3 linked regions of the Macaca fascicularis genome follow. The protein of the gene in region 1 interacts with the protein of each later gene in a pairwise test. Links are inferred from orthologs where the notes say so. Each region holds a gene or a part of one and is shown on either strand. Other genes may lie near its edges. The genes, in order: LMNA, ZSCAN12 and VAMP4.

Region 1 (10,714 bases):
CTGCATCTCCCTGCGTGTCCACACTGGGGCTGCAACAGTGGGCAATCCAGGAAGTTGTCGAGCACCAGGGCCTCGCTGGGGTGGAAGTAGTGCTTCTGCTTTGTGGACCTGGGATCTCCCCACTTCTGACTCAGCCTTCCTCCATCAGTTTCACATGGGAAGGCACAGACCCTGGCACTATCCTGCAGCCCAATCCATGGCTCTGAACTCAACTCTGGATTCTAATTACTTGTGCATGTTGCCTGTCTAGAGAGAGCTATGGTTCCAGACACCACCAGAGGGTCTAAGGAAGGAGCCAGGCAAGGGACTCCAGGATTCAATGGGGAGGGGGGCAGAAGATGTAGACATTCAGACCACCATTCCTCTCTTTAAGACAACTGCTGTCTCCACCCTGTCTCCTGCTGTCTCCTGTAAAGCCACCAGGGTGGGAGGGAGGGGGGCAGCATCTGAGTCATCCACCCAGTTGTCTTGCCTGGGGTGGGGCCCAGCTGCAAGCCTGGACTCTAGATGGGCTTCCCTGGTGCTTACAACCTTCCCATTCTGCCTGCACTTGGGTATCCAAATCCCTTGGGCTACAGACTAGAAAGAGACAGAGAAGGGGCAGGGGGGACCAGGTATGGTAGCTCATGCCTACAAATCCCAGCACTTTGGGAGGCCAAGGCCAAGGTAGGTGGATTGCTTGAGCCCAGGAGTTCGAGACCAGCTTGGGCAACACGGTGAAACGCCATCTGTACAAAATATATAAAAAATTAGTGGCCAGGTGCGGTGGCTTACGCCTGTAATCCCAGCACTTTGGAAGGCCAAGGCGGACAGATCAAAAGGTCAGGAGTTCGAGACCAGCCTGGCCAGCATGGTGAAACCTCGTCTCTACTAAAAATACAAAAAATTAGCCGGGCGTGGTAGCAGGCGCCTGTAGTCCCAGCTACTCGGGAGGCCGAGGCAGGAGAATCACTTGAACTTGGGAGGCAGAGGTTGCAGTGAGCCGAGATCATACCACTGCACTCCAGCCTGGGCAACAGAGTGAGATTCCATCTCAAAAAATAATAATAATTAGCTGGGGGCTGGGTGCGGTGGCTCACGTCTGTAATTCCAGCACTTTGGGAGGCCGAGGCAGGTGGATCATGAGGTCAAGAGATGGAGACCATCCTGGACGACATGGTGAAACCCCGTCTCTACTAAAAATACCAAAATTAACTGGGCATGGTGGCATGTGCCTGTAGTCCCAGCTAATTGGGAGGCTGACGCAGGAGAAGCGCTTGAACCCAGGAGGTGGAGGTTGCAATGAGCCGAGATCGCACCACTGCACTCAAGCCTGGCGACAGAACAAGATTCTGTCTCAGAAAAAAAAAAAAAAAAAAAATTAGCTGGGCATGGTGGCACACACCTGTAATCCCAGCTACTCAGGAAGTTGAGGTGGGAGAATCACCAGAACCTGGGAGGTTGACGTTGCATGAGCTGTGATCACGCCACTGCACTCCAGCCTGGGCAACAGAACGAGACCCTGTCTCAAAAAAAGGAGAGAGAGAGTACTGGGAAAAGGGGTTTCTTCTTGGAGCCTATAATCCAGCCAAACAGAAGGTCCCCCAAACTCCTGAGTGTGGTTGAGGTACCCAGGCTAAGTCAAAAATTGCTACAGGATCTTACAAACAATTCTCCATCCCAACTCCAAATCTGGCCCTGAACTCTGAGCTCTAATTAAACATTAAACCAGACAACACCTTTTCTCTAGGCTTTGGTGGGAGGGGTTGGGAAAATGCCTTTTTTCCTCCCCCAAATTCTTTACCCACTTCTCTACCTCACCCTGAGCACAGCAGACCCAACAGGGAGTGACCAATCCTGGCTCCTCCTACTGTGGGCATAGAAGAGGACAGACACTCCAGTCTGAGTCCCCTTTGTCTTCACCCCACTTTCTATCAGCTTGGGATCCAGGTGTGCAAATCCACCTCTCTTTTCCGGAAGCCCAGCCTTCCCAGCCAGGATCAGTGGGGGAGAACAGAGGCAGGTGGCTAAATATAACAAGTACACACAACACCCCCGCCCTGCCCCATGTGCGCACATACCCGCCTGGTGTCCCAGGCCTGGACAGCTGCACTAGGAGGCAGAGGAGACAAGCTGGCGTGGTTGGATGAGCAAGACTATCGAATCCATTCAACCTGTTTCCTGATCAAAGTTTTAACCAGAAAACTGCTAAAACTGCTAAAAATGTCCTTCACAGGGATTTGGTAGTTGAGTGGAATGGTTAAGAATGCATCGAGGCCGGGCGCGGTGGCTCAAGCCTGTAATCCCAGCACTTTGGGAGGCCGAGACGGGCGGATCACGAGGTCAGGAGATCGAGACCATCCTGGCTAACACAGTGAAACCCCGTCTCTACTAAAAATACAAAAACTTAGCCGGGCGAGGTGGCAGGCGCCTGTAGTCCCAGCTACTCGGGAGGCTGAGGCAGGAGAATGGCGTGAACCCGGGAGGCGGAGCTTGCAGTGAGCTGAGATCCGGCCACTGCACTCCAGCCTGGGTGACAGAGCGAGACTCCGTCTCAAAAAAAAAAAAAAAAAAAAAAAAAAAAAAAAGAATGCATCGAATTCTCTGGGTCTCCCCTTCCTTGCTTCCTTTCTGTCTTGCTAACTAAATTGTTCATATCACTAGTAGAAAAACGACAGGCCTGGCGTCAAGCCCGGTGGCTCATGCCTGTAATTCCAGTGCTTTGGGAGGCCGAGGCAGGAGGATTGCTTGAGGCCAAAACTTCAGAACCAGCAGAGCAACATAGCAAGTTTCCATCTTTACAAACAAAAAGGAAAAAAAAAAAATTAGCCAAGCGTGGTGGTGCCTGCCCTTAGTCTCAGCTATTTGGGAAGCTGAGACGGGAGGATCACTTGAGCCCAGTAGGAGTTCCAGGCTGCAACAAGTTATGATTGCACCATTGCGCTCTAGCCTGAGCAACAGGGCAAGGCCCTGTCTCTGAAAAATACAATAAAAATAAAGAAAAGGACAGGTGCGGTCTCCTTCAGCAGAAATAAAGTTTGAGGTTGGGCCCAGTGGCTCACGCCCTGTAATCCCAGCACTTTGGGAGGCCAAGGCAGGAGGATTGCTTGAACCCAGGAGTTCAAGAGCAGTGTGGGCAACTTGGCAAAACCCCATCTCTATAAAATAATACAAAAACATTAGCTGTGAGTTGTGGTGCTTGCCTGTGCTCCCAGCTACTCAGGAGGCTGAGGCAGGAGGATGGCTTGAGCCAGGGAAGTGGAGGCTGCAGTGAGCCATGACCTTGCCACTGCACTCCAGCCTGGGTAACAGAGTGAAACCCTATCTCAAGAAAAAAAGAAGCCAGGCGCAGTGGCTCACACCTTTAGCCCCAACACTTTGGGAGGCGGAGGTAGGCAGATGACTTGAGGTTAGGAGTTCGAGACCACCCTGGCCAACCTGGTGAAACACCGTCTCTACTAAAAATACAAAATTTAGCTGGGTGTGGTGGCCGGCACCTGTTGTCCCAGCTACTTGGGAGGCTGAGGCAGAAGCATGGCTTGAACCCAGGAGGCAGAGGTTGCAGTGAGCCGAGATCACACTACTGTACTCCAGCCTGGACAACAAAGCGAGACTCCGTCTCAAAAAAACAAAATAAAGGTTGATGGCCGGGCATGGTGGCTCATGCCTGTAATCCCAGCACTCTGGGAGGCTGAGGTGGGTGGATCATTTGAAGGCAGGAGTTTGAGACCAGTCTAGTCAACATGGTGAAACCCTGTCTCTACTAAAAATACAAAAAAAAAAAAAAAAAAAAAATTAGCTGGGTGTGGTGGCTCACGCCTGTAATCCCAGCTACTCGGGAGGCTGAGGCAGGAGAATCTCTTGAGCCTGGGAGGTGGTGGTTGCGGTGAGCCAAGATCGCACCACTTCATTCCAGTCTGGGTAACAGAGTGAGACCCTGTCTCAAAAAAAAAAAAAAAAGAAAGAAAGAAAAAAAGGTTGAGCCTGTTTTCCTACACACAACTTCTACTGACTCTTCAGAAAGAAGGGCTATGGGCCCGGCGTGGTGGCTCGCGCCTGTAATCCTAGGACTTTGGGAGGCCAAGGTAGGTGGATCACCTGAGGTTGGGAGTTCAAGACTAGCATGACCAACATGAAGAAACCCCTTCTCTACTAAAAATACAAAATTAGCCCGGCATGGTGGCACATGCCTGTAATCTCAGCTACTTGGGAGGCTGAGGCAGGAGAATCGCTTAAACCTGGGAGGCAGAGGTTGCGGTGAGCCGAGATTGTGCCATTGCACTCTAGCCTGGGCAACAAAAGCGAAACTCCATTTTCAAAAAAAAAAAAGGGCGATGGATCTGCCACACCCACCACACCTAGCAAAGGGTTTTGGGAAGAGCAGAAGTTTGGAGTAGTTGATAAAAGGGAGAGAAGAACTCAAAGCCAACAGCCCTTTATGGCTCTCCAAGCCCTGTTAGTGCTCTTAGCCTGGGTCTGCATAGAGAAAGGGAAGGCAGGAAGAAGGGAACCAAATTTTGGGGGGACTGGAAGAGGAAGGCCTATACTTCCAAGCTCCCAAGGCTTTTTTAGGAAAGAAGAAGGTGGAGTTGAGCAGGGTGGGGTAGGGTGGGGCAGGGGTGGGTAAAGTAGGAGTGGCCTGAAGCTTCCAACGGCTGGATTTCAAAAATGTCACTGTATTCCAGCACTTTAATAAGACAAAGATCAAAACGTCAGCAGCTAAGAGGATGGGCCTGAGCAAAGACTGCCTGGCCTGGCTGGGAAAATGAAAGTGGCTCACTCCAAGGAGGGAAGGACAGTGCCCCCAACCCTCGAAGACACGAGGCAGTGGGCCAAGGGAGGAGTGCGGCCAGACCTGGGCATAACACAACTTCCTGAGCTGGGAGCCTCTGCCCTCTGCCTCCCTCCCTCCCTTGCATTCCTGGGCCAAGCAGGCCAAGGGCTGTGGGAGCTGCGGGGGAGCCAATCTCCCGATCTCCCATCTCCCGGAGCTCTTTTGGTGGGCCTGTCAGAGCCCAAGGAAGGTCCCAGACACGCAGAGTGGCAGAGTGAGGGACAGCTTCCCAACCCTTAGAACCCCGGAAAAGGTCATGCCGAGGGGGCCACCGCCAAGCCCTCGGGAGGGAAAAGGGGGATTGCCCTGCCTTTCTCACCTCTCTCCAACACGCTGGACAGATGCCAGCTTGGGAGTCATGTCTTAGTGGGCATCATGTGTTCAGAGCCAGCTTGGGCAAAGCTGGCACCAGTGCCAAGCCCGCCAACAAAGTTCTAACAGGACCCTTTCTGCTACTCATATGTGTCCTGGGTGCCCAGAGTTCTTCGAGCTGGCAGGGCTAGTTCTGTTTTGCTTAAGCCCCTCCCGCAGGCTCCAAATAGCTGGCAAATCCCAATCTGACCGAATTCGGGCAGGCCCCAGCCCTAACTTGTCCCTGATACCCCCACCATTCCTTATATCCCCCCCGCCCTCTCCCAGAGACCACCTCTTCCCTCTCTGTCCTGTCTTGACAATTCCCCTTGACACTGCCAGTCACTCGCTGGGGGCAGTTCCGGGAAGGGAGGAGACTATGGCAAAGTTATCGGCCTCCAGGCCCTCTCACTCCCTTCCTGCAGTCGGCCAGGGGCGCCGGCCAGCCGCCCTCTCCACTCCCCGCCAGGCACGCAGCCACCTGGGCGAACTCACCGCGCTTTCAGCTCCTTAAACTCCTCACGCACTTTGCTCAGCTCCAGCTGCAGGCGGGCACGCTCCTTGGCCACTGAGTCGAGGGTCTTGCGGGCATCCCCGAGCTCGGCCTCGTAGGCGGCCTTGATGCCGGACACCTCGCGGCTGACCACCTCTTCAGACTCGGTGATGCGAAGGCGCAGCCCTGCGTTCTCCGTTTCCAGCGAGCGAACACGGTCGATGTAGACCGCCAAGCGATCATTGAGCTCCTGCAGGTCCTCCTTCTCCTGCAGCCGGGTGATGCGGGTGGGCGACAGCGGAGTGGAACTGGCCTGCGCCCCGCTGCGGGTGGCGCGCCGCTGGGACGGGGTCTCCATGGCCGGCAGGTTGGCAGCGCTGCCCGCGGGGCAGGGGTCCCGGAAAGGGCTCGGGGCTCGGGCAGAAGGACGGAGACTGCTCGGAGTCGGAGTGCGCCGGCCGGCTGGCTCTCGGCTTGCTACTGGCAGGCGTGGGGATCTGGGCCGAGCGCTGTTGGACCTCGGGATCTGGGTTGGCTGGTGTAGGTGCTGCGCTCCCGCGAACACTGAGTCACCGACGCCGGGGCAAAGGCTCTAATAGGTCCTCGTCTGAAGGGAGGAGTGGCCACTGCTCTTAAAGGGGCAGTCCCAGATCCATGGGGGTGGGGGCAGGAGTGGTGAGGAGGGGGAAAGACCGTTGGGGTGTGGCGGAGTCGAGCCCCACCCTCTCCAGCGCACCCCTAACTGCGTGAGGCTTAAGCTTCCCCTCTCTTGGCTGCTCAGTACTGCCGGCTCCAAGCTTGCCCCCATTGCCTCAGACCTTCTGGGCTAGAGGGCAGAGCCAAGGAGGGAGAGTGGGTGGGCAAAAGGGTGGGGGAGAAAGAGAGGGAAGTGGGTGCAAAGCAAGGGAGAGGGTCAGGCAGGCAGGGCTGGGAGCCAGGAAAGTGGGGGGAGGGCTGAGGCTGGTGCCCATCAGTGTGACTCACCCTTCTTCCACCACTGGCTCCCCCTGTCCTCCCAGTAGTAATAGTGAGTCACCCCAACCCCCCCTCCACACGTGGGCAGCCCATTCAGAGCTGCATCTCAGTGTGCCAGGAGTGGGGTGGAGAAGGAATGCCTGGGTTCCCTGGGGGGAACAAAGTTCTGGAACCTGAGTTCCTTTATGCCCCCAATTTGGGGCCAGGGATCAAGGAGTTTGGGGGTCCCTTTTTTGCTTTCTTTTGCCCCAATATATCTCCCTTCAAAACCAAGCATTCGTTTTTAGACCCAAGCAACAAGCCACAGTCCCCTAAAGAAGGCCAAGAATAGGAGCCAGGCACTTCCCCCTTCCATCTCCTGTCCCCTTCCTTTGGACCCAAGCACTGCTTGGGTTCCTTCCCCCTTCAGTCCCTTTCTACTGCTTACCCCACCCAGTCAACTTAATTTTTTTTCCCCAGAACTGTACTTATTTTAATGGATAATTTAAAACAGATACCAGAGCTGTGTGTGCATTCATTACGTTGCCAGGACACTAGGTCCCAGATTTCTGTGGTTCCCAGAGGGGCCTGAAAGGGGGAGCAGGGCTGGGGGCTGGACAGCCAATGTTGGGTCTCTATCCTGGTTTCAGCCAGAAAGAAGGTAGTAGGGGGTAAGAAGGTAGTGGGGGGCAGGAACAGCAAAGACCCCACAGCCTTGCTGGCTGCAAAGGCCAGCACCACATTCATCTCTACTTTCCTCTCTGGCCAGGTCCATTTTGCAGCTGGCTCTGGGGAGGGGCCAGGCTGTCTCACAAAACGAGATCACCCAGGTCCCCAGGGTTCGCTAGCTCAGGCTCTGGAGCCTCCATCCTCAGGCCTCACCAAGGACCCTTTTGATAAGCCTTCCACTCCCCTCCCCTCATCCTGGCCCCTATTCTGGTCCCATCAGCCACCTCATCCTCTATTTTTTTTTTTTTTTTTTTTTGAGATGAAGTCTTGCTCTCTCACCCAGGCTGGAATGCAGTGGCATGATCTCGGCTCATTGCAACCTCCACCTCCAGGGTTCAAGAGATTCTCCTGCCTCAGCCTCCTGAGTAGCTGGGATTATAGGCACCCACCACCTTGTCCAGCTAATTTTTTATTTTTATTTTTATTTTTATTATTTTTATTTATTTATTTATTTTTTGAGACGGAGTCTGGCTCTGTCACCCAGGCTGGAGTGCAGTGGCACGATCTCGGCTTTTATTTTTATTTTTAATAGACATGGGGTTTCACCATGTTGGTCAAACAGGTCTCAAACTCCCGACCTCAGGTAATCTGCCTGCCTCAGCTTCCCAAAGTTCTGGGATTACAGGTGTCAGCCACCACGCCCGGCCCACCTCATCCTCTCTAAGAGGTGACAGCACTGAGGTCTGGGCCCCATCTGCCTGCATGCCCTGCCCAACTGCCTCCCACAGCTTATCCTCCGATGAGCAACCAGGAAAATCAAATTACGTTGCTACCTTGTACAGCTCCAGGATATCAGGACTTCTCTCAAACACAAGGAAAGCAGGGCTGGACAGGCCCTCAGTTCTGGGTTCTGAAGCCTGGCCTTGGGGTGGATGAGGGACTGGAGTGGGATTAAGGCAGGAACTTTGGTTATTAGGGGAGGAGAACAAGGAAAGTTCTCATCTCAGTGAGGGTGCCTGGGCAGCATGGTGAGCATTAGGGATGCACCCGGGTGAGGGGGCCCAGAATATGGCTTCTCTGCCCCAGGGCGTGGCACCCACCCTCAGCTTCCCAGACAATAAAAAGTCTTGTTCTTCTCCAAACCAGAAGCAGAGGCAGGAGGGGTAAGAAAGTGAAACATGAGGGAAGGGCTCATGCTGTTCCCACTGCCTCAGCCCCTCCCTGGCACTCAGTGCCCCCCGTTTCCCCTACAAAGCTGCTCGGCCTGGCTTCCCTTCCAGGCTGGAAAGCAAAACCACACTTAACCCTTCCTATCCTAGACCTCCCCCCTCTTTTTTTGAGAATCTTGCTCTGTCACCCAGGCTGGAGTGCGGTGGCAGAATCATAGCTCACCGCAACCTTGAATTCCTGGGCTCAAGTGATTGTTTTATCTCAGCCTCCTGAGTAGCTGAGACTATAGGCTACCATGATAGAGATGGAGTCTTGCTATGTTGCCCAATTTGGTCTGTAACTCCTGGCCTCAAGTGATCCTCACCTCAGCCTTCCAAAGCACTGGGATTATAGGTGTGAGCCACTGTGTCTGGCCAGACCTCCCCATCTTGTGGAAAAGGTGCAGGAGAAACAAGGAGGGCTTTCACCCCACATTTTACTACAAGCTCTTTCTAAAGGTTCCCTGCCACCACTATCAAAATGGCCTTAATCCTAAATCTGAACTTCAAAGTGAACCCTTATCCTGAATATTCAATCCTAACTCTGGACCCCAGATGTTGTAAGTCTGCTCTCCCTTTGCCAGGGCAAAAATCACCAACCCAGAAGCAGCATCCAGGTCCAGAGGAGCTGAGCCTGCTGGAGGTGAGAGGTGAGGGGAGTGGTGACTAGAGGGTGACCAGGTTCTAATCCTACCTCTTAATTGATGGGTGATGCTAGATCCGCTACTGAATTCTCTGGACCTCAGTTTCAGTAGGGCACAGTGGCTATCAAAGACAGGGACTGAGCTCCTGGGTGTGCAAGAGTTCTGCACATTGTGCCACAGGGTCATGGCAGTACTATGCTTGCTCTCAAGGGAGCCTCCCACTAGTGGGGAAGACAGAAGGAGAAGCAAAACCAACAAGTACAGATGATTAAAGTGCAGTGGAGGACTCTGAATTGGATGAATTCCAAAGGGATCCCAGAAGTCTGGGAGCTGGAGCATTCATGAGTGAAATCAGAATACAGTGGTTGGGTCCAAGGGACAGTTTGAGCTTTTTTTTTTTTTTTTTTTTTGAGACAGAGTTTTGCTCTTGTCACCCAGGCTGGAGTGCAACAGTACAATCTCAGCTCACTGCAACCTCTTTCTCCCAGGTTCAAGCGTTTCTCCTGCCTCAGCCTCCCGAGTAGCTAAAATTACAGGCGTGTGCCACCACGCCCGGCTAATTTTTGTATTTTTAGTAGAGACGAGGTTTCACCATGTTGGCCAGGCTGGTCTCGAACTCCTGACATCAAGTGATCCCCCGCCTTGCCTTAGCCTCCCAAAGTGTGAGATTACAGGCGCGAGCCACTGCACCAGGCGTGGGCACTTTATCTTGAAGACCAATGATCTTGGTGGGGGTAGGGGGGCTTCTCTGTGTTCTTATAGCATCCTGGTCTTCCCTCTGTGACACAGCAGGCACTCGGTGGGTGTTTCTATTCTTTTTTTTTTTTTTTTTTTTGAGATGGAGTCTTGCTCTGTTGCCCAGGCTGGAGTGCAGTGGCACAATCTCAGCTTACTGCAAACTCTGCCTTCCAGGTTCAAGCGATTTTCCTGCCTCAGCCTCCCGGGTTGCTGGGATTACGGGCACCCACCACCACACCCAGCTAATTTTTGTATTTTTAGTAGAGACGGGGTTTTACCATATTGGCCATATTGGTCTTGAACTCCTGACCTCAGCTGATCTGCCTGCCTTGGCCTCTCAAAGTGCTGGGATTACAGGCATGAGCCACCGCACCCAGCCTCTTTATTTTTTTAAGAGATGGGGTCCCACTATGTTGCCCAGGTTGGTCTTGAACTCCTGGGGTCAAGTGATCCTCACCTCAGCCTCCCAAAGTGCTGGGATCACAGATGCCAGTCACCATGCCCAGCCCTCTCAGGGTTTCTTGGATAAACAAATGCATCTGGCCCTGCCAGTTTTCAGGCAGCGACTCTAGACAAGTTTTTGCATTTGTTTCTGCTTTAGTTTCATCATCTGCAAAATGAGGATGTGCAATAACTAAATAAGGTAACATATATTTGAAGGAGGGCTTCCTGGAGAAGGTAGATTTAGGGGCTTTACAGAGTTGCCTTATACATAGAGAATTCACTCGTTCAACAAATATTTACTGAACATCTACTATATACCAGGAACTATTCTAGACACCAGGGATACAGTGAATAAAACAGACAAAAATCTCTACCCTTATGGAGCTGACATTCCAGTGGA
Region 2 (10,714 bases), on another chromosome or scaffold:
ATTTAAAATACAAAAATGTGATATGACAACAACTGTTTTAGTATAGTTACCACAGGATCCCACAGTCTGATTTTTTAAAAAGGTTTCAGGTCTAACCCTGCTTTGGTTTAGTGCCTAATGTGATTAAGAAATTGGTTAGTAACGAGAAATGGGGAAAGGATTCCCTATTCAGTAAATGGTGCTGGGAAACCTGGTTAGCCATATGTAGAAAGCTGAAACTGGATCCCTTCCTTACACCTTAGACACAAATTAATTCAAGATGGATTAAAGACTTAAATGTTAGACCTAAAACCATAAAAACCCTAGAAGAAAACCTAGGCAATACCATTCAGGACATAGGTATGGGCAAGGACTTCATGACTAAAATACCAAAAGCAATGGCAACAAAAGCCAAAATAGACAAATGGGATCTAATTAAACTAAAGAGCTTCTGCACAGCAAAAGAAACTACCATCAGAGTGAACAGGCAACCTACAGAATGGGAGAACATTTTTGCAATCTACGCATGTGACAAAGGGCTAATATCCAGAATCTACAAAGAACTTAAACAAATTTACAAGAAAAAATCAAATGATCCCATCAAAACGTGGGCAAAGGATATGAACAGACATTTTTCAAAAGAAGACATTTATGCAGTCAACAGACACATGAAAAAATGCTCACCATCACTGGTCATCAGAGAAATGCAAATCAAAACCACAATGAGATGTCATCTCACACCAGTTACAATGGCGATTATTAAAAAGTCAGGAAACAACAGGTGCTGGAGAGGATGTGGAGAAATAGGAACGCTTTTACACTGTTGGTGGGACTGTAAACTAGTTCAACCATTTGGGAAGACAGTGTGGCGATTCCTCAAGGATCTACAACTAGAAATACCATATGACCCAGCCATCCCATTACTGGGTATATACCCAAAGGATTATAAATCATGCTACTATAAAGACACATGCACACATATGTTTATTGCAGCACTATTCACAACAGCAAAGACTTGGAACCAACCCAAATGTCCATCAGTGACAGACTGGATAAAGAAAATGTGGCACATATACACCATGGAATACTATGTAGCCATAAAAAAGGATGAGTTCATGTCCTTTGTAGGGACATGGATGAAGCGGGAAACCATCATTCTCAGCAAACTATCACAAGGACAGAAAACCAAACACCGCATGTTCTCACTCATAGGTGGGAACTGAACAACTTGAACACTTGAACGCAGGGCGGGGAACATCACACACCAGGGCCTGTCATGGGGTGGGAGGATGAGGGAGGGATAGCATTAGCAGAAATACCTAATGTAAATGATGAGTTAGTGGGTACAGCAAACCAACACGGCACATGTATACATATGTAACAAAACTGCACGTTGTGCACATGTACCCTAGAACTTAAATTACAATAATAAATAAACAATAAAAATGATAAAAAAAAGAAATTGGTTAGTAACTATAGCCCATAAAAAGTTACCTTATACTGTACATAATAATTTCCATAAAAATTGTTGCTATCCTGGCCTAAAATTTAGTGCAAATCCTCAACATCAAGCTTTTTCCTAACTGGAAATTTAAATATCAACTACAAATTAAAAATTGCATGTTGACTATGTCATTGAAACTCAGGAAAGTTAATGTTCTTAGGAAATAGTCTAATCAAACTGTTATAATCTAGTAAACATCTGATCTTGTTATCTATTGCTGCATAAAATGTTTCTCCAAAAGAGTGGAGAAAAACCACGCCATCATGTTTTGGGCCAGGAATTTGGGGAGGACGCAGCTGAGAAATTCTTCTGTTTTATGTGGTGTCAACTAAAGTCACTTGGTGGTATTCATCTGGCATTATAATTTGTCTGGAAAATCCAAGAAGTTTTACTGCCATGCCAAGTGCCTTGGCAGGGACAGCCAGAAAAGTGGGCTTAGCTGGGCTAATCTTCTCCATGTGGTCTCAGAGTTTCTTTATGTGGTCTTGGAGTCACATAAGGCTCACTTTGGGGTCATTTTCTCAGCATCTTGAAGGATTCTTGCAACTCAGTCACTGGAAAGCAGGGTTGATAGACTTCTTCCATGGTGGCTCAGGACTTCAAGAGCAATTGTTCTAAAAGACAAAAAGTGAAAGCTGCTGCTCTCCGAAGGCTCAGGCCAGAAACCATGGCATAACTTTTGCAGTATTTTATTGGTCAAATTAATGATTAAGCCCACTCAGATTCAAGGGAAAGTGACACAGACCCCACATCTTGATGGGAAATGTCAAAGAATTTGTAGCCATCTTTAATTTTCCACAATACCTTTATCCACCTCAGATTTAAAGTCTGAAGGAAAAATAAGCCTTTTTTGAAATCTTTTCCTAAATAACTTTTTTCTCAATTGTCTCCATCCCCTTTCAACCTCACTAAATAAACCTGGCACAATTACGAGCTAATCAAGTTTATACATGCTTTCATTTTCTTTTTTTTCTTTTTTTTTTTAGAATTGGCAAAGGCTTTAATACAGCTATTCTTTTTTTTTTTTTAATTTATTTATTATTATTATACTTTAAGTTGTAGGGTACATGTGCATAACGTGCAGGTTTGTTACATATGTATACTTGTGCCATGTTGGTGTGCTGCACCCATCAACTCGTCATTTACATCAGGTATAACTCCCAATGCAATCCCTCCTCCCTCCCCCCTCCCCATGATAGGCCCCGGTGTGTGATGTTCCCCTTCCTGAGTCCAAGTGATCTTATTGTTCAGTTCCCACCTATGAGTGAGAACATGCGGTGTTTGGTTTTCAGTTCTTGTGATAGCTTGCTAAGAATGATGGTTTCCAGCTGCATCCATGTCCCTACAAAGGACACAAACTCATCCTTTTTTATGGCTGCATAGCTGGGCTTCCAATATTACAGTTTTACCTTTTCTCTTAGTCTTTGAGTCCTAGCTCTCGACATCTGCTTTCTTTTCCCTTTTAAGTGCAGTTAGAAGGCTTATCAATATATCACAGGAAACTTTCTCCTTTTTAAATGTTAGAGTTATTTGGTTAGTAAAATGGCCGAAAAGTGTAATAACGTTAGACAAAAATTGTTTAAAATAAAGATATTCTAGAGATGCATTTTGTCTGCTCTTTGTCTCTATATCCTTGTGTTTCTCTAGTGTCAAAAGACGGAGATTGGTTTTACTCAGAGTTCTGTCTTAAGCTCTCTTTGTGCTTAGATGCTCTTTTCTTGTGGCTATGTTGCATCTGTGACAAAAAGTTGACTATTTCACCTAGGTCCCTGGGAACTATGCCAAGTCAATCATTCTTGGTGCAAGTTGACTTTTTAAGTGAGACTTTCATATCAGCTTCTTTCAGTAAGTCATGCCAAGTGAAACTTGGAAAATGACTGCATTGCAAAAATCCTTCAAGATGCCTAGAAAAGGACCCCAAAGTGAGCTTGAGGTTCACTTCCAGGTTGAATTCAGGTTGTTGTCCAATAATTTCTCTGTCTGTTGTTTTCTGAGATGTTCTATGGCTTCAGGTGACATTTGAGCCCTGACACGGTGTGAGGAGGGATCTCTCTCTCCCTTCTCCCCAGATGCCCTGAAAGAAGAATCTACAGGGCTGGCAGTAGGGGGCAAAGGGCACTCCAGAAATCTGTCCTAGGCTGTCTTTTGGCACCACACACTTCATGAGATCTCTTAATTGTTTTAACCATTACTGAAAGGTGGAAGGCTCCAAAATATGGATCTCAAGCTAACTCTCTTCTCATGACTCCTAAACCCACAAATCCCTAAACCAATCCGTTAACGAATAGCAACATCTACAGTGTAATGCTCCCTAGGATATCAAACTTAACATGGCCAAGCTGTGCTCATAAATTTCTTCTCAAAATGCTACTTGTCATTTAGTCCCCTGTCTTGGTGGAGGGACCACCATCCTCTGATGATACCAGGCTTCTATTTTTGGTTATCTTAACCCCCATACAATCAATGATGAAGCCCTGATCCATTTTTCCTCCTATTTCTCAATTTCATCCCCTCATATTTGGCATTTTAAAAATCAGGCCTCCCCCGATCCCATTTAATCTTGTGCATGTCAAAGTGTCTTTGAGATGGATTTCTAGAAGTGGTATTGCAGGAACAAAGGGTAAACTTACATATACAATTCTGCTGTGTAGTATTATCTTTCCTACCTATGGGTGGTACCATTTTGCATTCCCACTAGAATGTTAGGAGTTTCTCCTTCCTCTTGAGTAGAGTATGCTGTCAAACTTTTGGACCATTGCCATTCTGATGACTAATGGTACCTCAGTCAGCATAGTTTTTAATTTGTATGTTCATATTTTGAGCGAAGTTGAACATCTTTACAGATGTTTGAGGGCTGCTAGCATTTCTTATTCTGTCAACTATTTATTTCTTTTAGCCATTTTCTCTATTGGATTATTGGTTATTCTCAACTTTTAGGAGCTCTTTAGATATTTGGAAAACTAGCTCTTGCCTGTGATATGTTGCAAGTCTTTTTCTTTCCTTATTATTTTTTTTGACAAGCAATACATTTTATTTTCATGTAGTCAGATTTATTATTTTTATGAGTTTTGGATTTTGAGTCATATGGTTAGATGTTTCCCCATTCCCACGTGTTAGAATTATTGTTCATGTTCTCTTCTAATACATGTATAGGTGGATTTTTTACATTTAGATCTCAGATCCATTTAGAATTTATCTCTATTGTGATGTGTGGTGGGAAATACAAATCCAGTTTTACCTTTGACAAATGGTTGTCATCCCAGCACAACTTCTAAGTTCTTCATTTCTCTGTTGACATGTGGTGTCCCCTTCATCATTTACTCAATATCCTTACATACCTGGATCTATTTCTGGTCTATTCTTTCTCTCTGTTAATACAATAAAATCATATGGGTATGTTCCAGTATCTGATAAGGCTGACCCTCACCATTGTTCTTTTTCATGGGTTTCCTGGCTATTCTTATTTTCCCACTTGAACTTTATAATCAGTTTATCTAATTCCAGAACAATATTTGTTGATATTTTTGTTGGAATACTAGAGTTGCATACGTATTTAGGGAGGATTGACCTCTTTGAGTCTTTCTAAGAACCGCATATTGCTTTGTTTGTTTAAATGTACATCTGGCCTTTTAGGAGCTTTTTAAAGCTTTCTCCATAGAAGTTTTGTTCATTTCTTGTTAAGTTTATTCCTAGTTTCAATTTTTTGTTGCTATTGTAAATATAGTCTTCTCTTCCATTATATCTCGTAACTCGTTATCATTGATTATTCACATATATGAAGGCCATTGATTTTAGTGTGTTAACTTTATATCTTGCTAATTTACTAAATTATCCTTTTTTTTTTTAATAGTTTTTCCATTGAACCGGGTTTTCTGACATATAATCATACATCGGCGCATAAAAGAGAACATCAAGAGGATCGTGGATGGCGAAATAGCCGGCAGAAACCAGCCCGCTGGCCCTTGAGAAGTCTGTGTGGAAGAAATCCCTACGCCACCGCTAAGCGCGGATTTGGGAAGCTCCCCGGCAGAAGGTCCCCCGAGAACATCCCTTTGAGGCATCTCTAACCTCAGAGACACAGAATCCCAAAGTGAATGGAGACGCAAGGGATTTCCCTGTCTTAAGATCAGTTCTACAAGCCTTGACCACCCATCGGGCCGGGGGAAGTGTGGACAATGGCTGAGTAAAGAAGAGGAGAAAGATAAACCCGTTCCGTTTACCCGCGGGTCTGAGAGCCATCATCACCCTTCCTCTCACGTAGACGCGCGGAAACACTACTACCGAGTTGAAAGCCCCTTTCGCCCCCTTCCTAGAGCGGCCGCGGAAGTGCGCCCCACGCGGGTTGGTTCTCAGCCCTCCCGTGGCCGCTTCCGGCCTTTGTGGGTCACTTTTGATGGGTTCCGGGTCCCAAAAGGGTTCGAGGCCTTTAGGGGGGAGTTCTCTTCTGGCCCGGGGGGGCCGCAGGTGAGCGATGTTGTGCTCTGTATGCTGCGAGGAGGTGGGCGGAAGATTGCTGTATTCTAGTTGCTGGGCCCCTCGGCTCTGGCCGGTGCAGAATGGACCCTGGTCCTCCCAAACCCAGGTGGATCCGCGGGAAGCTCTCCCTCCCCAAAGTGCGCTGGGAGACTAGGATGAGGGATCGGCTCCCAGTCTGCAGCAATTCCGTGCTGTAAGGCCCATACCTACCTTCCGCGTTTGCCTCGGCGTTGTATCCTTGGGTTCAGCGCGTACCGACATTTCTAGACAGTGGTGGTTCACAGACGCTGGCCGGCGTCCCAGGGCCTTCCTCACTTCAGATTATAATCACAGACCATGAGGATAGAGGGAAGGCTTAAAGAGTAACCTCTTCAGCCTTCTCACTTTATAAATGAAGAATAAGGAGCGGAAAGTTTAAGTCCCTGAGGAAATAAATTTACATGACTTTGTTGCTTTTGTGATTTCATGGTTTCTACCAGACATCTGGATATTCAAAAGATAAAAGTAACTAATCAAGGATGTCCTAACCTTTTATCATTATTGTTTACTTGATCTAAATGTTAGTTTTATTCCATTTGCCTTTCATTTAGGACCAAATGAGAATAAGTTTACTAACAAGTCTTACTCTTCTTCTTAAAGTCCTGAAACAACTTGGCACCTTTCCTTAGTCTTTCTCTTTAAATTGGTCTAATCTTAAGTCTTTTCTATCAGAGTATTTTTCTGAGTAAGTATCGTACATTAACCTGGAGGCCAGATTTCAAAGATCATAGTTAAGTTCTCAGAATTTGCAGTTTTACTTTATGGTGGAGTTTGTGTTAATAATGATGGCTTATTCCTCAGGACTGTCCAGGAATAAATTTTCCAGGGGAGATCTTACTTGAAACACCGGTAGTTCTGGCACAGCTAAAATGGCATCTACTTGGGCTATCCAGGCCCACATGGACCAGGATGAACGTTTGGAAGTAAAGATAGAGGAGAAGAAGTATACCACCAGACAGGATTGGGACCTGCATAAAAACAACACCCATAGCAGAGAGGTCTTCCGTCAGTACTTCAGACAGTTCTGCTACCAGGAGACGTCTGGTCCCCGTGAGGCTTTGAGCCGACTCCGAGAACTTTGCCATCAGTGGCTGAGGCCAGAGACCCACACCAAAGAACAGATTCTGGAGCTGCTGGTGCTGGAGCAGTTCCTGACCATCCTACCTGAGGAGCTCCAGGCCTGGGTGCAGGAGCAGCATCCAGAGAGTGGCGAGGAGGTGGTGACTGTGCTGGAGGATTTAGAGAGAGAATTGGATGAGCCAGGAGAGCAGGTGAGAAAAAAGAGGTGACTTCTGTTTGAGAAAAGATAAATTGTGGATTTCTAGGCCAGAGTGAAGAACAGCCATTTTTTCACAAAGCATGTTTTTTGACAGTTTGATGCATCAGAAAGGGGCATGAGTTTCAGGGAAAGTTGGCTAATGTGGTCCCAACTTATTTATAACTTTTCTGTGGAAGGATTTTATATTTCTCTATTAAGCTACAAAATTCTGTTTGATAAATATGCTGCTCATCTTAGAAAACTTCTAAGACAAGAGAAGGTATCAGAGAGATGAAAGTAGCAGGATGGGAAGCAGTCTCTTGGAGGGGCATCACTCTGTTGCACAATACAAATAATTAAGAATTAAGGTTTTGCAGATATATCCATTGCTCTGACTCCATTACAGGGTTTTAAAATGGAAAAATTAACTATTTCAGGGGAATGAGATGTGGGAGTACAATGGAAAGTTAGTGAGGAGAGCAGGGTGGGGTTCTGTGTTTCTTTGAGTAGTAGAAAGCCCAGTTAGGCTGGAAAGGTGAATTCTGAGTAGAAGAGTTGAGATAGTGTCCAGGACCTTGAATCTCAACCTCTGGAATTGAGATTTTATTCTGTAGACAGACGCCCCTAACCTTTTCTTCTTGAGTCTAAATGAGCTTTACTAATTGTAAGATGTAAAAGAGAACCAAATTATATAGAACTTTTTTGTTTTGTTTTTAATACTAAAATGAGACAGTGGTTGTCAACCAGTGCCAATTTTGTGCCCCAGAGGGCATTGGCAATGTCTTGGGACATTTTTGGTTGTTATAACTCAGGGAGGTGCTCCTAGTATCTAGTGGGTAGAGAGGACAAGGCTAATGCTAAGCCTCTTACAACACACAGAACAGCCCCAGACAACAGAGAATTATCTAAACCAACATGTCAGTAGAGCCAACACTAGGAAACCCTGATATAAAGAGTTTGAAACTTAGGGAAATAATGAAATGGAAGTATAATCTAACACTGTGATACAAAATACAATAGAGAGGGTAGGAACATGTGGCAAAAAGATCTAAGTTTGAAATAAGATCACGAGGCCAGGCGCAGTGACTCATGCCTGTAATCCTAGCACTTTGGAAGGTCGAGGGAGGTGGATCACCTGAGGTCAGGAGTTCAAGGCCAGCCTGGGCAACATGGTGAAACCCCGTATCTACTAAAAATACAGAAATCAGCCGGGCATGGCGGCACGTGCCTGTAATCCCAGCTACTTGGGAGGCTGAAGCAGGAGAATCACTTGAACCTAGGAGGCAGAGGTTGCAGTGAGCCAAGATTGTGCCACTGTACCCCAGCCTGGGCAACAGAGTGAGACTCTGCTTAAAAAAAAAAAAAGAAACAGGATCATGAAAGTGTGATTACCAAGGATGAAGCATATCTTAGGTAAGAATTGTTTGGAAGTGATGACAGATTAGATCTATTAAATAAAGAAGGAAGAACCAATGGAGAACTCTTTACAGAGCAATGTATTCTAAGCTAAACACTAGGGATTTTAAGCTTGAAAGACTAGTATAATGGAGACACTCCTAACAAAGTTAAAGACTGTAGGAAATAATTAAGTACATATTTACTGTATGTCTGTTTGGACTAGGTACTGTTTTAGGCACTGTGAATGCAACAGCCAACAAAACACAGGGGGTTGCTATTCTTATGTAGATTCTGGTCTACTGAGGAGAGACAGATAGTAAATTAAAAATCAACAAACCAGCCCAGGCAACATAATGAGACCCCCATCTCTATAAAAAATACAAAAATTAGCCAGGCAGGCACGTGTAGTCCTAGCTACTTGGGAGGCTAAGGTGGGAGGATTGCTTGAGCCCAGGAGATCGAGGCTGCAGTGAACCGTGATTATACCACTGCAGTCCAGCTTGCGAGACACAGTGAGACCCTATCTCCAAAAAAAAAAAAAAAAAAAAAAAAAATCAACAAACATACAAGATGTAGGTGGTAATAAATTCTGTTCAAACAACAACAACAACAATAAAAGCAGAGAAAAGGAATAGTGAAATAAGTGGGGATTGTGCTGTTTTCTGTAGACTTGTCAGAGAAGGCTTTTCAGATAGGTGACATTTACAGGAGAAATCTGAATGAAAAGAGCAAGCCATACAGCTATCAGGGATAAAAGCATTCAGGCAGAGGGTCTTAAAGTGAGAATCTACTTATCACAGTAGAGATGTGTTTGTCAAGGAGGAGATGAAATAAAATCCTTATAAGATTATATTATGTCAGAACTTGTAGCAATTATAAGAATTTCGAATTGTATTCTGAGATGGAAAGTCACTGGAGAATTTTGAACAGAAGAGAGACATAATTTGACTTGAATTTTAAAATAGTCACTCTGGCTTCTGTGAGAAAGTTCCACAATGGGGCTGGGGTAGGCATAGGAGTAAAAGTTCGAGGCAAAGAAACCTTGTAGAAGCAATAATAATAAGCAATAATCCAGGCAAGAGATATTGGTGACTTGGACTAGAATAGTAGCAGTGGGAGTGGTAAAATGTGATTGGATTCTGGATGTATTTTGGAGGTAGAGCTTGACAGGGTTTGTTTTTATATAGAATGTGGAATATGAGAGAAAGTAAGTTAAGGATTATGCCCAAGTATTTGGTCTGAATATCAGATAGAGTGGATTTGTCTTTCATAGAGATGGTAAAGACTGGGAGAGAAGTGGGTTTGGGGTGGAAGGACAGGATTCTTAGATGCAGCCAAAAGTAATTTGGTTTTAAATGTGCTGAATCTGTATTGCCAACCAGTTCTTTCTCTGAAAGCACTGCAGGGGGCATCTAATGGAGTTTACAGCTTGATTTCTGAGGCCTGACCAGAGATCCAGGAATAGAAGGCACAGCTCACAGTACTGGCTTTTTCTCCCCGCTTTCTTTTTTCAAAATGTGAGATATCAAAACACCATTTTCTGTACATCTGAGATAGCATTTTGCTGACTCTGGCTTTTATTCTGAAGACTGAGTCTACAAAATGAAACCGTATCAGGGAAATAGAGGCAGTATATGGTGATTTCTTATTTATAAAATTTAACCTTTGAAGAGAATGGGGGAGTAATTTGAGAGCCTGTTGTATGCCAAGCCCTGTGCAAGGTGCTTTATACAAAAATTATTTATAATCTCAGAGAGAGTAAGTAACTAGCCCAAGGTCACAGAGCTATTAGACTAAGAGAGAGAGTTAGTAATCCATGTGATTCCATATCCCTGCTTTTTACAATACCTTGCTGAAGAAACCTATTATTTTTAAATGCAAGAGGAAATAGGCCCATGGAAGAATGGCAGCCACCCAGTGACTGAAATTGCTGAATAAATGAGTTAGTTAACTGAGGGAGCAAGGGTCAGAGGGAAGCCAAAAGTGATGGGATTGAAGGCAAAAGTAGAGATGTGAGCCTTGAAATAGAGAAGACATCATCCTCTAAGATAGAAGAAATG
Region 3 (10,714 bases), about 76 Mb from region 1:
AGCTGAGGAATTGGAGACCAGCGTGAGCAACACGGCGAGACCCCATCTCTATAAGAAAAACAAAAACTAGCCGGGTGTGGTATCATGCACCTGTAGTCCTTGCTACTCAGGAGGCTATGGTGGGAGGATAGCTTCAGCCCAAAAGGTGGAGGCTGCAGTGAGCCGTGATAGCACCACTGCACTTCAGCCTCAACGACAGAGTGAGACCCTGGTCTCAAAAAATAAAAACAAACCATCAAAAACACACAAAACCCAAAAAGCTGTACAAAGGGTTAGATTAAGGGGAAGAAAACGTTTCCTGTGTTGTACTAAAATAAACTTAGGGCTAAAAGTCATAAGATGGTGGACAGAGTGGATAATATGAAGTTCTGAGGTTGTCCAAAAAGAGCATGTAAAACAAAGCAGACTAAAAGCTTTGCAAAGGCACAGATTATGTCATCCAATTTTTAGCCCAGTGCCTAGCACACAGTAGGCGGTCAATATATATTTGTCGAATGAATCAAGGCAAGAAGGAAGGGAAGGAGGGCTTCAGAATGGTGCATTAAAAAAATAAGAATGTGAATTATTTCCCCCAATAAATATGTATTATTTATTCTAAAAGTAATCTGCCTACAACATTCATATAAAATGTCTTTCAAAATGCTGCATAATTTCTAGGTTCATGTATCTTTGCACAGAATGTTCTGGAATAAACTAGAAATTGAAGCATTATGTGAAAGATACTCTGGAACCTAAGATAATTACAGGTCTGGAGACCTTTATTTGGAATTCCAAAATCTAAAAGCTTCTGAAAATCAAAAGGTTTTGGAGGAAACTCTGACCTGAACTGATGTTAGCTAGTTTATTTACACACTTTATTTACATTAGTTAGGTATAACTAAATATACACTTCACTGAGAAATACTAATATTTTTGGAGGCACTGGTCCAGGCCCCAAAAATGCTGTTACATAATATGTTCTTAACTTTCTAAAATCTGAAAAATTCCAAATATATTCAGCTTCAAAGTTCTTAAAAAGATATTGTGTATTTGTATAAAACTCCCTTTCAAAAACTAGAAAGAAGCTATGAGAATAATGATTTGATCAATAATAGAAGTAGGATTCAGTTGTCACCAATCTAAGTAACATGTTTTTAAATACATTTACTATGAAGAAAACAATTAGGATTAGAATATAGTCATAAACTTTTGATTTTCCTATTATTAATTAATTAATTAATTTTTGAGACAGGGTCTTGCTCTGTTGCTCAGGTTGGAGTGCAGATCACAGTTCACCACAGCCTTTATCTCTCAGGCTCAGGTGATCCTCCTGCCTTAGCCTCCCAAATAGCTGGAACCACAGGCGCGTGCTACCATGCCTCACTAATTTTTAAAAAAATATTTGTAGAGACAGGGTCTCCCTAGGTTGTCCAAGATGGTCTTGAACTTCCGGGCTCGAGCTATTCTGCTGCAGTGTCCCAAGTGCTGCGACTGCAGGCATGAGCAACCGTGCCCGGATGGTTTTTTTCTATTATTTACAAAGGGAATGAAAACATATTTTGAATCTTTTGTTTTTAAAGCTTAAGATTCTGAACTTACCCTTTCACTTTTCACAGAACCCGTGACATCATCATCATTGAGGTGGCGCTTAAACTTGGGAGGCATATTTTTTACTTGTGAAGTATTTTCTACTTCTCAACAGGATAATGACTGCCTTAAAGAGAAAATAAATTTCATCAGATTTGAGACTTTGGGGTATAAGCTAAAGTACTTAAAACAATATACACAAGACCCCGTATAATGGTGACTCCCTCATTTTTCTGACTTCAGTTCCTCCCCTCTCACTTGTTCCATTCCAGTGAATGGGGCCTCCATGCTAGACCTCAACACATAAGAAATAGTTAAAACTATGAGAAAATGGATGTAATTGCCCTAAGAGAACATGTGTAGGATATGAGTGACTTAAGATAGATTTTTATAAAATGAAAGAGCAGACAGTAGAGGGAAGATGTCTCACTGAGACATTAAATGCTTTACAATTTAAATTTGGAGTCAGAAGACAGGATAACATGTCTATTTCTCTCACTTTTAGTTGGCTGCTTAAACAATGATTCAGTTTCCTCATGTGTAAAATAGTGATTTTCAGGCTTCGGCAGAGTTGGGATGGTCAAATTGGATAATACATGCAAAAATATTCTGCAAACTATAATGTCCCATTGGTACTCCATAAAAAGGGGTAAGTTTGGTAAGTACTGTGTGATATTGTGATTTATAAAATATATATATATATATTTGGTTTTAATCCCCATTTCCTGACATATCCTTGGAATCCCTGCAGTGATGTGTCTTGTGTATGCTAGTAAGATGCCTGGTAGCTTAGCCCCCACATAGATTCAAGATGGAGGCTGGTCACAGAAAAACCTAGGTATGATTATAAGACTGTGACTTTTCAGCCCCACCCCCTAGCTTCCTGGGAGGGGAGGAGGGCTCCAGGTTGAACTGATTTCCAATGGCCAATGATGTAATCAATCATGCCTACTAATGAAGACTCCATAGAACCCAAAAAGGACAGGGTTCAGAGAGCTTCCCGAAAGCTGAACAAGTAGAGGGTTCCTGGACGGTGGCACACCTGGAGAGGGCACAGAAGCTCTGTACCCCTTGCCCTATGCACCTCTTCCATCTGGCTGTTGATCTCTATCCTTTATAATAAACCAGTAAACAAAGTGTTTCTCTGAATTCTGTGAGCCACTCTAGCAAATAAATGGAACACAAGGAAGGGATTGTGGGAACTATGATTTATAGCCAGTCAGTTGGAAGCACAGGTAAAACAACCTGGAACTTGTGACTGGCACCTGAAGGGGGGAATCTTGTAGGCTTAAGCCCTCAACCTGCCCGATCTGATGCTATCTCTAGGTATACAGTATCAGAATTGAATGAGAGAACACCCAGCTGGAGAACCTGCTGCAGAACTGCCTGCTTGCTTGTGAGGAGAAGTCTTTTTGGGGTCACAGGAGTATTCTGTGTTGAGAGAGAATAGGAGAAACTCAATTTTTCTTCTATCAAAACAACTGGATTAAACAAAACTAGTTTTCTTTGCTACAGAATGACTCACATCCTGTTATATGCTAATATGCATTGTGACTTTCCAGGAAAATGCTTGTGTATGCAACATATTAAAAATTTTTTTTGAGAAAAAGTTGTTCTATGCAAATAATGAATTTTCAGTATTTTTGACTAGATGGTAGATGAATACTCAGCAATTCAGGATAGCTCAGAAATAATGTTATACTGTGTGCTAGGCACTGTGCTCAGTGATATGCATGCATTTTCTTTTACTCTTTATGACCCTTCTTTGAAGTAGGCACCAAGAAACTAGGAGAAAACTAAAGTTTAGTAACGATAACGTTAGTCACTACACTCATTGAAACAGCAGAGATACAGGCCTAAATTAATCAATGGCTGTGCATTATCAGTTTTAACTGTTTTTTTCAATTAGTTGCTCATCAGGTTTACAGAATTCTGTTCTAGAAAGACCCACTTCCTGGTAACAACCCAATAGTCCTGTTTCCTTCTCCACAAGAAGAAACACAGCCCTTTAAATTAGGTATAGTTAGATATCAGTTTGTTGGTTAATGATATACACTTAAAAAAGAATAATCCCAGAATCATGTTTCACGAACCAAATAAAAGTAATATTTTAAGTCAGCTGCTTGTCAAAACAAACGGACACAAACACTTTTCTTTGGTAAGAAATGCTTCCAAATCAGAAATTATTCACTTGTAACAAAAACCAAACTCTTGCTGCCTAACAGCTCTTGAGTTCTTGGTTCCACAATATTTCTGTCACATACATCTGGCCCTTTTATTCCTCATACTTTGATTTCAGAATACTTAATTCTTGCAGAAATGTAACAGAATGCATGGAAAAACAGATGACAAGGCAAATTACTGAAGAACTTGTGCTTTTAACTATATCTGTATTTAGATTTTAACCCCTGCAAAGAGGCTCCCTCAACATCTCAAAGCAAACAACAGGCTGACTTATATAATGCCTTTATGAGACATAGGGTAAAACTACAATCTTAAGGAGGAGCAAACCCCATATTCAGGTCTCTTAATCCCAGGAAACCATGTGCAACAAATAGAAAGCCCATCAGCAAAGCAGTAGGCAGATTAATTAGCTACGTTGATGAACTTTGACGTTATTTGCAACTGGTGATTATTAGTAACTGATGACATGTGTATCAAACAACTAGTAGAAATGAATCATGCTCAGAAAGTAGACAAGGATATCGTCCGCCTAAGATTCTCCTACAAAAAAGACATGTGAATTCAGGTGTTTGTGACTAGGTATACATGTAAATAAGAGAGCTATCATGTACTTCCACATTGAGGATAGACCACCACTATAAAATTCACTTAAAAAAGTCACATCACCGTATGCTTCTTATACATCGGCATATACTTAAATGTCTATGTATGCATTTTTGTAAGTAGTACGTTATCTAGTCAACAGCTTTGAATCTGGGCAGAGGCTCTCCTTTTCCCAGCCTCCATTCCCTTTCTGACTCGTCTTCCTTGTCTGTCATCAGCCGTCTTGCTTGATGCAGTTTCACAGAAATAAAGTGACTTGGATGGACACAAACCGGAGATGTCATTTGCAAAACCTGTCAAGTGTAACGATTCACCCCCACCTTCCGGTCATTATAAACACAGCAGGGTTGGCGCTCTTTCTCCTGAGCCCTTTAAATACACAATTCCAGGCAGCTCCGTTCACCCCCCACACCCAATCTGTCGCACCAGGCCACGTCCCTGGATATATCTGCTCCTAACACTGGCCCTTCCTGCCCCACGGTACCCCCTGGCATTCCTGACTGCATCCCACTCTTAACAAACCTTCCCCATCCATGGCACTGTTTTCTTCCCATCACCCAGAGTTCCCTTCCATTCCAAGTCTTCTCTTCCTCAACTGCTCCCCGTCCGCACACCCCTGTCCTCGTCTTCCTTCCTCACGACACCCCGGGCCCCAGCCTTTTCCCACTCCGGGGTCCCTTCCTAGATGCCGGAGGCCGGCCGACCAGCCCGACTAGGACGTCGGGGGGCGGCGAGGCAGGGCGTCTTCTTCGTTTCCTTCCTCCTCACACCAGCCCCTCCCGCTGGGAACAGGCCAGCGCCAGTACCTGAGGCTCCCGGGGAACTCCCGGCAGCTCTCCCGGGCTGGCGGTGCTGGGCGGGCGGTGCTGGGCGGGCGGGGGAAGGAGTGGGAAGCCGAGGTAAAAAGCTGGGAGGGGGAGACAGTGGATGCAGACCCGGCGTCGGCCGCAGCGCCGCAGAAGCGCCTCCGCTCATCGAGCCGATCGGCGCTCGGCGGCCTGGCGCCAGGCGGAGAGGGCGGGTCCAGGGCACGGAGATAGTCGAGGAAGTCGATTCCGCCGAACGCGCTTCGCCTAAAAGAGCCCGGACCCACACGCAGTTTAGGTGCAGCTTTCCAAGGTTATGCTGTGCTTTAGGGGAGGAACGACCACCGGTTCTCCAGGTTCCGGTCGCGATCCGGTGGACCTGCTTCGGGTTCGTCTGGGGCCTTTTCTGAAGAAAGGAGATCTGTTCGATCCCTTGTTTACAGAATTAGCTACACTTGGAAAGAGATGTTAGGGGTTCCTAGGCCAGGCTCCTCCCTTTAGATAGGTGGAATATCTGGTTCAGAGAGGAGACTGACTTAAAGTTACACAGCTAGTTTAGATAGATACGGAACGAGGGCTCGGTGTTCTTTTCCTGGTATCCCTTAGTTGTAACCTGAAAGCCTTCAGGTTTCAGGGAAATCGCCCTTGCCAGGCCATTCCGCCACTCTGCCCATTCCTCCCTCACTCCCTCCCCCTCCGCCCAATTTGGTATCATGTTTAGATCTCGAAGCCCGCTGTAGCTGGCTACCAAAAACAAGTCCTAATTTTGTTTTTCCGTTCTCTTATTTGTTTTATTATCCATTCCTCCCACGCCCCAGCTGGATTATTTTACTCATTGAATCATATTCACTACACATCTTTTAAAATGAATACAGTGTCTATGGGTCCTTTGTTGATAGAGTATTTTAACTGTCTGAAATGCTTTGCCAGGCACTTTCTAAAGATATAAAAATAAGAGGGGGTGTTCAAGAACAAGAGTAGACAAAACAGCAGGAGGAAAGATCTGAGGACACTAAAGGAAAGGAAAGAATAGACACCCTCTTACCAAAAAGTTGCTCTTCTTTTGATTTTTTTTTTAATGTAAAACTGTACTAACGAATTTGAAAAATGCCATGACTAAGGCAATGATGCTCAACTCTGATTCACTTGGAGTTGAATCACTTGGAAAGCTTTTAAAACTGCGTAGGTGCCCACGTGTTACCTAGATTCTGATTTAAATGGTCTGAGATTTAGAAACAGCCGTTGGGTTGTCAGTTGAAGGTTCTGAAAGCTTGATGCTAAACTCAGTTGCCTATGTTTATGCCAAGTTGCTGACTTGGACTGAAACGGCCCACTTAGAAACCTCTCATGGTTTATATCTCTGTCTAGGCGTGATAGTGGGACTACCCCCAGACTCCACAGGTAACCCAGACATCATTTTTCCTTTTACAGCTGATTTTTTCTTTTGAGACGAGTTATCACTTCTTCTCCCAGGCTGGAGTGCGGTGACACAATTATATCTCACAGCAGCTGTGAACTCCTGGTCTAAAGTGATCTTCCTGCCTCTGCCTCCCAAGTAGTTGGAATTACAGGCACAAGCAGCTGTGCCCAGCACTTACAGTTGATTTTATGTCTATATATTTGCATGTTATAGGATATTTTCTGGCTTTGGTGCCTTAGCCAGTTGGAGCTTTAGCTAGTTATAGCCTCGTCTTTTGTGCATAGACAACTTAAGGTGTGGTCAGTGAGCTCCAACAGCACGTCATTGCATAGCTTTTATGGATAATCCTTTCTTTGGGTTTCTTTGTTTTTTAACCATAATTCTTTAGTCCCACCAGTCATTTTGGAATGGTCACTTAGGAGAGGGGTAATGCAAGTCCCACCCTTTAATCACCTGAACAAAGTCCCTTTGACTATCCCCAATATTTGCGAAACTTAGAAAATGTCATTTTACAGTTAACGTGAATCAAATATACCAGTAAGCCTAAAAGATTATAAGTAGCACTGAGCTTAGAATCAGAACTCTAAATAAGTAACTCAATAAGCAACTTGAGTTACTTATTTCCTCCATTTTCTTTTTAGTGAGCTTCAGTTATTCAGATGTTAGTCCTCTAATTTTCTTTTCCCCTTTTGCAACGTGACACCTTCATCCTTAAGAGTGCCTGCTGTCCTCCGAGCTAGAGAATCAGCGTTTTGCTTATTCTCCCAAGACTAAATCTCTGGGCTTTTGATGGGATAACAAAGGGAATCTGAGCATCTGATTCATTCTTAAACAGACTTTCTACCATTCCCCCTTTATTTCTAGCTCACATCATGCTCTCTTCAGCTTTACCCGGTGCTTCCAATTCCTGAGCCTTGTGCAGGGTTTCACTGTGTGCATCAGGTTGCTTCATGGCCTGCTTGGAATTCCTACTTTTCCAGTCTGCTAAGGTAATTGCTTCTTGATTCATCTCCCTTCTAGCTTTCAATATTTAATTGCTAAATGTTCAACATTACTTAAAATGTAAAAGTGAACAAGGAAATACCATTTTTCCTCTATCAGTGACTGAGAAAGGAGTTGAGCAGAAGATCTTCAATCCAGTCTCTCCTCTCGTAGGGAAATACTCTCAGGAGAGCAAGCAAGCGAGCGTGTAATTTTTATAAATATGGTAATTACAGACCTCCTGGCAAACAGACCAGTGGTATTTGCTAGCTGAAGAGTCCATATTTATGGAATTCCTCTATCAAGATGTCCCGGATTGTCCTGGAATTGTTTATGGTAAACACATTAAGAATCGATCTGGTAATCCCAGCACTTTGGGAAGCTGAGGCAGGCGGATCACTTGAGGTCAGGACTTACCAGCCTGGCCAACATGGTACAACCCCATCTCTACCAAAAATACAAAAATTGGCTGGGTGTGGGGGCATACACTTGTAATCCCATCTGCTCAGGAGGCTGAAGCAGGAGACTCGCTTGCACCGGAGAGGCAGAGGTTGCAGTGAGCAGAGAGCGCGCCACCGCACTCCAGCCTGGTAGACAGATCGAGACTCCCTCTCACAAAACAAAACAGAATCAGTGTGGATTTCAGGGGTACGATTAACTGGAAAATACCGCGGAAGTTATATAACTTAGCGTAAAATGGAAGTGTTTTGTAACTGAGTTGGCTCCTTCTGTGTAAGTGGGATGACTATATTCTTGGTTTAGAAACCACATCTGTCCTGGGCCAGGATGCATCCAAAGCAAGAAGAAAGGACCTGGGAATTACTGGTATTCTTGAAATTATTAGTAAAGCTTGATACTGAGTAAAATCTCTGATTTGACAGTTTGGTCCTTTGTGTCAGCTCAATGACAAAAATAAAAAAATTGATACTACAGTATTGGGGGGGTGTGTGTGTGTGTAGTATGAGAGCAGGGTGGGAGGAACAAGCATTCTTTTTTCTTTTTTTTTTTGAGGCGGAGTCTCGCTCTGTCGCCCAGGCTGGAGTGCAGTGGCGCGATCTCGGCTCACTGCAAGCTCCGCCTCCCGGGTTCCCGCCATTCTCCTGCCTCAGCCTCCCGAGTAGCTGGGACTACAGGCGCCGCCACCACGCCCGGCTAATTTTTTTGTATTTTTAGTGGAGACGGGGTTTCATTGTGTTAGCCAGGATGGTCTCGATCTCCTGACCTCGTGATCCGCCCGCCTCGGCCTACCAAAGTGCTGGGATTACAGGCTTGAGCCACCGCGCCCGGCCGGAACAAGCATTCTTAAACACTTAGTAGGAGTATAAAAATTGGTGCATTTTTTTTAAAAGTTCACGGTAATTATATGTATCAAAACTTTATATGAAGTTCTTTTTGATCTAACAATTTTACTTCTAAAATTTATCCCATGGGTATACAGGTTGTATATAAAAGTATTCTATAAAAATATCTGTTACAGGATTTTTGTAATAGAGTGAAAAAAAACCTCTTAACTGTTCAGCAATAGGAAATCGCTGAAATAAGTCATAATGTAGCCATTCAATAGAATAGTATGTAGTCATTAAAATAAACTAGATAGATCTATATGTGCTCACATGGAATACCTGTATGATGCTATAAGGTGAGAAAAGTAAGGTGCAAAATAATGTGTAGACTCTACTTCCATTTGAGCATCACACACACACACATCAGTAGGACGGTGATTCTGGCATGGAAAGTATTACGGACTGAATTATATCCCCTCAAAATTCATATGTTGAAGTCCTAACTTCCAGTGTGACTAGATTTGGAGATAGGGCCTTTAGGACAATAATTAAGGTTAAACGAAGTCAGAAGGGCAAAACCCTAATCCTATGGAGCTAGTGTCTGAGTGCATGGGCACAGAGAATAGGCCATATGAGAACACAGAAGATGGCCATTTGCAGTCCAGAAAGAGAGGCCACACAGTAAACCAAGCCTGATGGCCCCTTGATCCTGGACTTTTAGCCTCTAGTACTGTGAGAAAATAAATTTCTGTAATTAAGCCACCTAGTCCATATTATTTCATTATAGCAGCCCTAGAAGACTAATACAGAAGGGAAACTTTCTTGATGTGTAGTGTTTTGTACCATTCGAATTATCTTTACCATGTATAGTACTTTTTCAATTAAAACAATAGTGGAGGCACTCTCTTCCCCTAAAATTGGGACCAATTGATCAGTTAATTTAAAAAGTCAGTTATAGTGGTACATATTTTAAAATGGCAAATATATACTTTAGTCATTTTATTTTGACTCAAATGTATAATTATATGTTCACTCACCAGTCTTGGTAGTAGGCCCAAGACCTTTTATCTGAGCATGAGTTTGCTTGTTGGAACAATTTGTCTTTGTTACAATTTGCATTGTTTACAGTTTCCAGTTTCATTTTCTTCAAGGTGGAACAAGAAGTTAAAGACACCTTTCAAGCAGTTTGAATGCCCAGTCAGTCTAGATTTTTGTACAATTTTTTCTCCAAAGTTTTACAGATTTGCCTTACCTATGCCTAGTTCTACAGTAATTTTTATTTGTTGTTCATGTTAATCAACTTAGTTTTTATAGAAAATAACTTTCTATTTGTATTTCATTAGAAATCTATTTACATATTTAAATAGATTCTATAAGTATAATAGACATAAATACTTTGGAGTACAAATGCAAATTGACTCTTGTAAGCATATAACTCAATTAGTTTGGAGAGGAAGTATACAGGTATCATGTAGTTAACCATTATCTTTTCATGCTTAGAGTGCCTTGGTGTTATATAAATATGGTATTAGTTTATTTTAGTTTTGATTTTAAATGCTTTTAAATCCTTTATCCAGATTCATTAATAACACTTTTCTAATGCTGACCTCAACTCCTAAATGGATTTCATGAAAGTGTGAATAAAACCAAAATAGTTCAGCCCTCTTTTTATCTCCAAGCAGATGAAGAAACAGAGTGCCAGAGAGTTTACGTGGTTTGTTAACATTTCACTAAGTTTGCTTTATTACTTCTCTTTGAAATATGTATCTCCCCCCAGCATGCATTATTTGAGAATTAGTTATAGATGTCATGCCTCTTTTCCCCTAAATACTTCAGTAGGTATCACCAAGAACAAGAACATTCTCTTCATA

Evidence for each region.
Region 2: the proteins of LMNA (region 1) and ZSCAN12 interact in binary tests that used the Homo sapiens proteins (3 or more experiments, as listed by UniProt). The link is inferred for Macaca fascicularis from reciprocal best matches to the Homo sapiens genes LMNA and ZSCAN12.
Region 3: the proteins of LMNA (region 1) and VAMP4 interact in a two-hybrid assay, tested with the Homo sapiens proteins (2 studies listed by BioGRID and IntAct, with this or other methods). The link is inferred for Macaca fascicularis from reciprocal best matches to the Homo sapiens genes LMNA and VAMP4.

What each region holds. Positions count from the first base shown.
Region 1 is NC_088375.1:104,959,978-104,970,691, forward strand, and holds the start of LMNA (lamin), read right to left. Parts: upstream 6,224-10,714; 5' UTR 6,016-6,223; coding exon 5,660-6,015; intron 1-5,659.
Region 2 is NC_088378.1:144,777,430-144,788,143, forward strand, and holds the start of ZSCAN12 (zinc finger and SCAN domain-containing protein 12), read left to right. Parts: upstream 1-5,869; 5' UTR 5,870-6,065; intron 6,066-6,799; 5' UTR 6,800-6,867; coding exon 6,868-7,269; intron 7,270-10,714. UniProt on the Homo sapiens protein: May be involved in transcriptional regulation.
Region 3 is NC_088375.1:29,352,002-29,362,715, forward strand, and holds the start of VAMP4 (vesicle-associated membrane protein 4), read right to left. Parts: upstream 5,330-10,714; 5' UTR 5,160-5,329; exon of another isoform or gene 4,876-5,159; intron 1,694-4,875; exon of another isoform or gene 1,690-1,693; 5' UTR 1,645-1,689; coding exon 1,579-1,644; intron 1-1,578. UniProt on the Homo sapiens protein: Involved in the pathway that functions to remove an inhibitor (probably synaptotagmin-4) of calcium-triggered exocytosis during the maturation of secretory granules.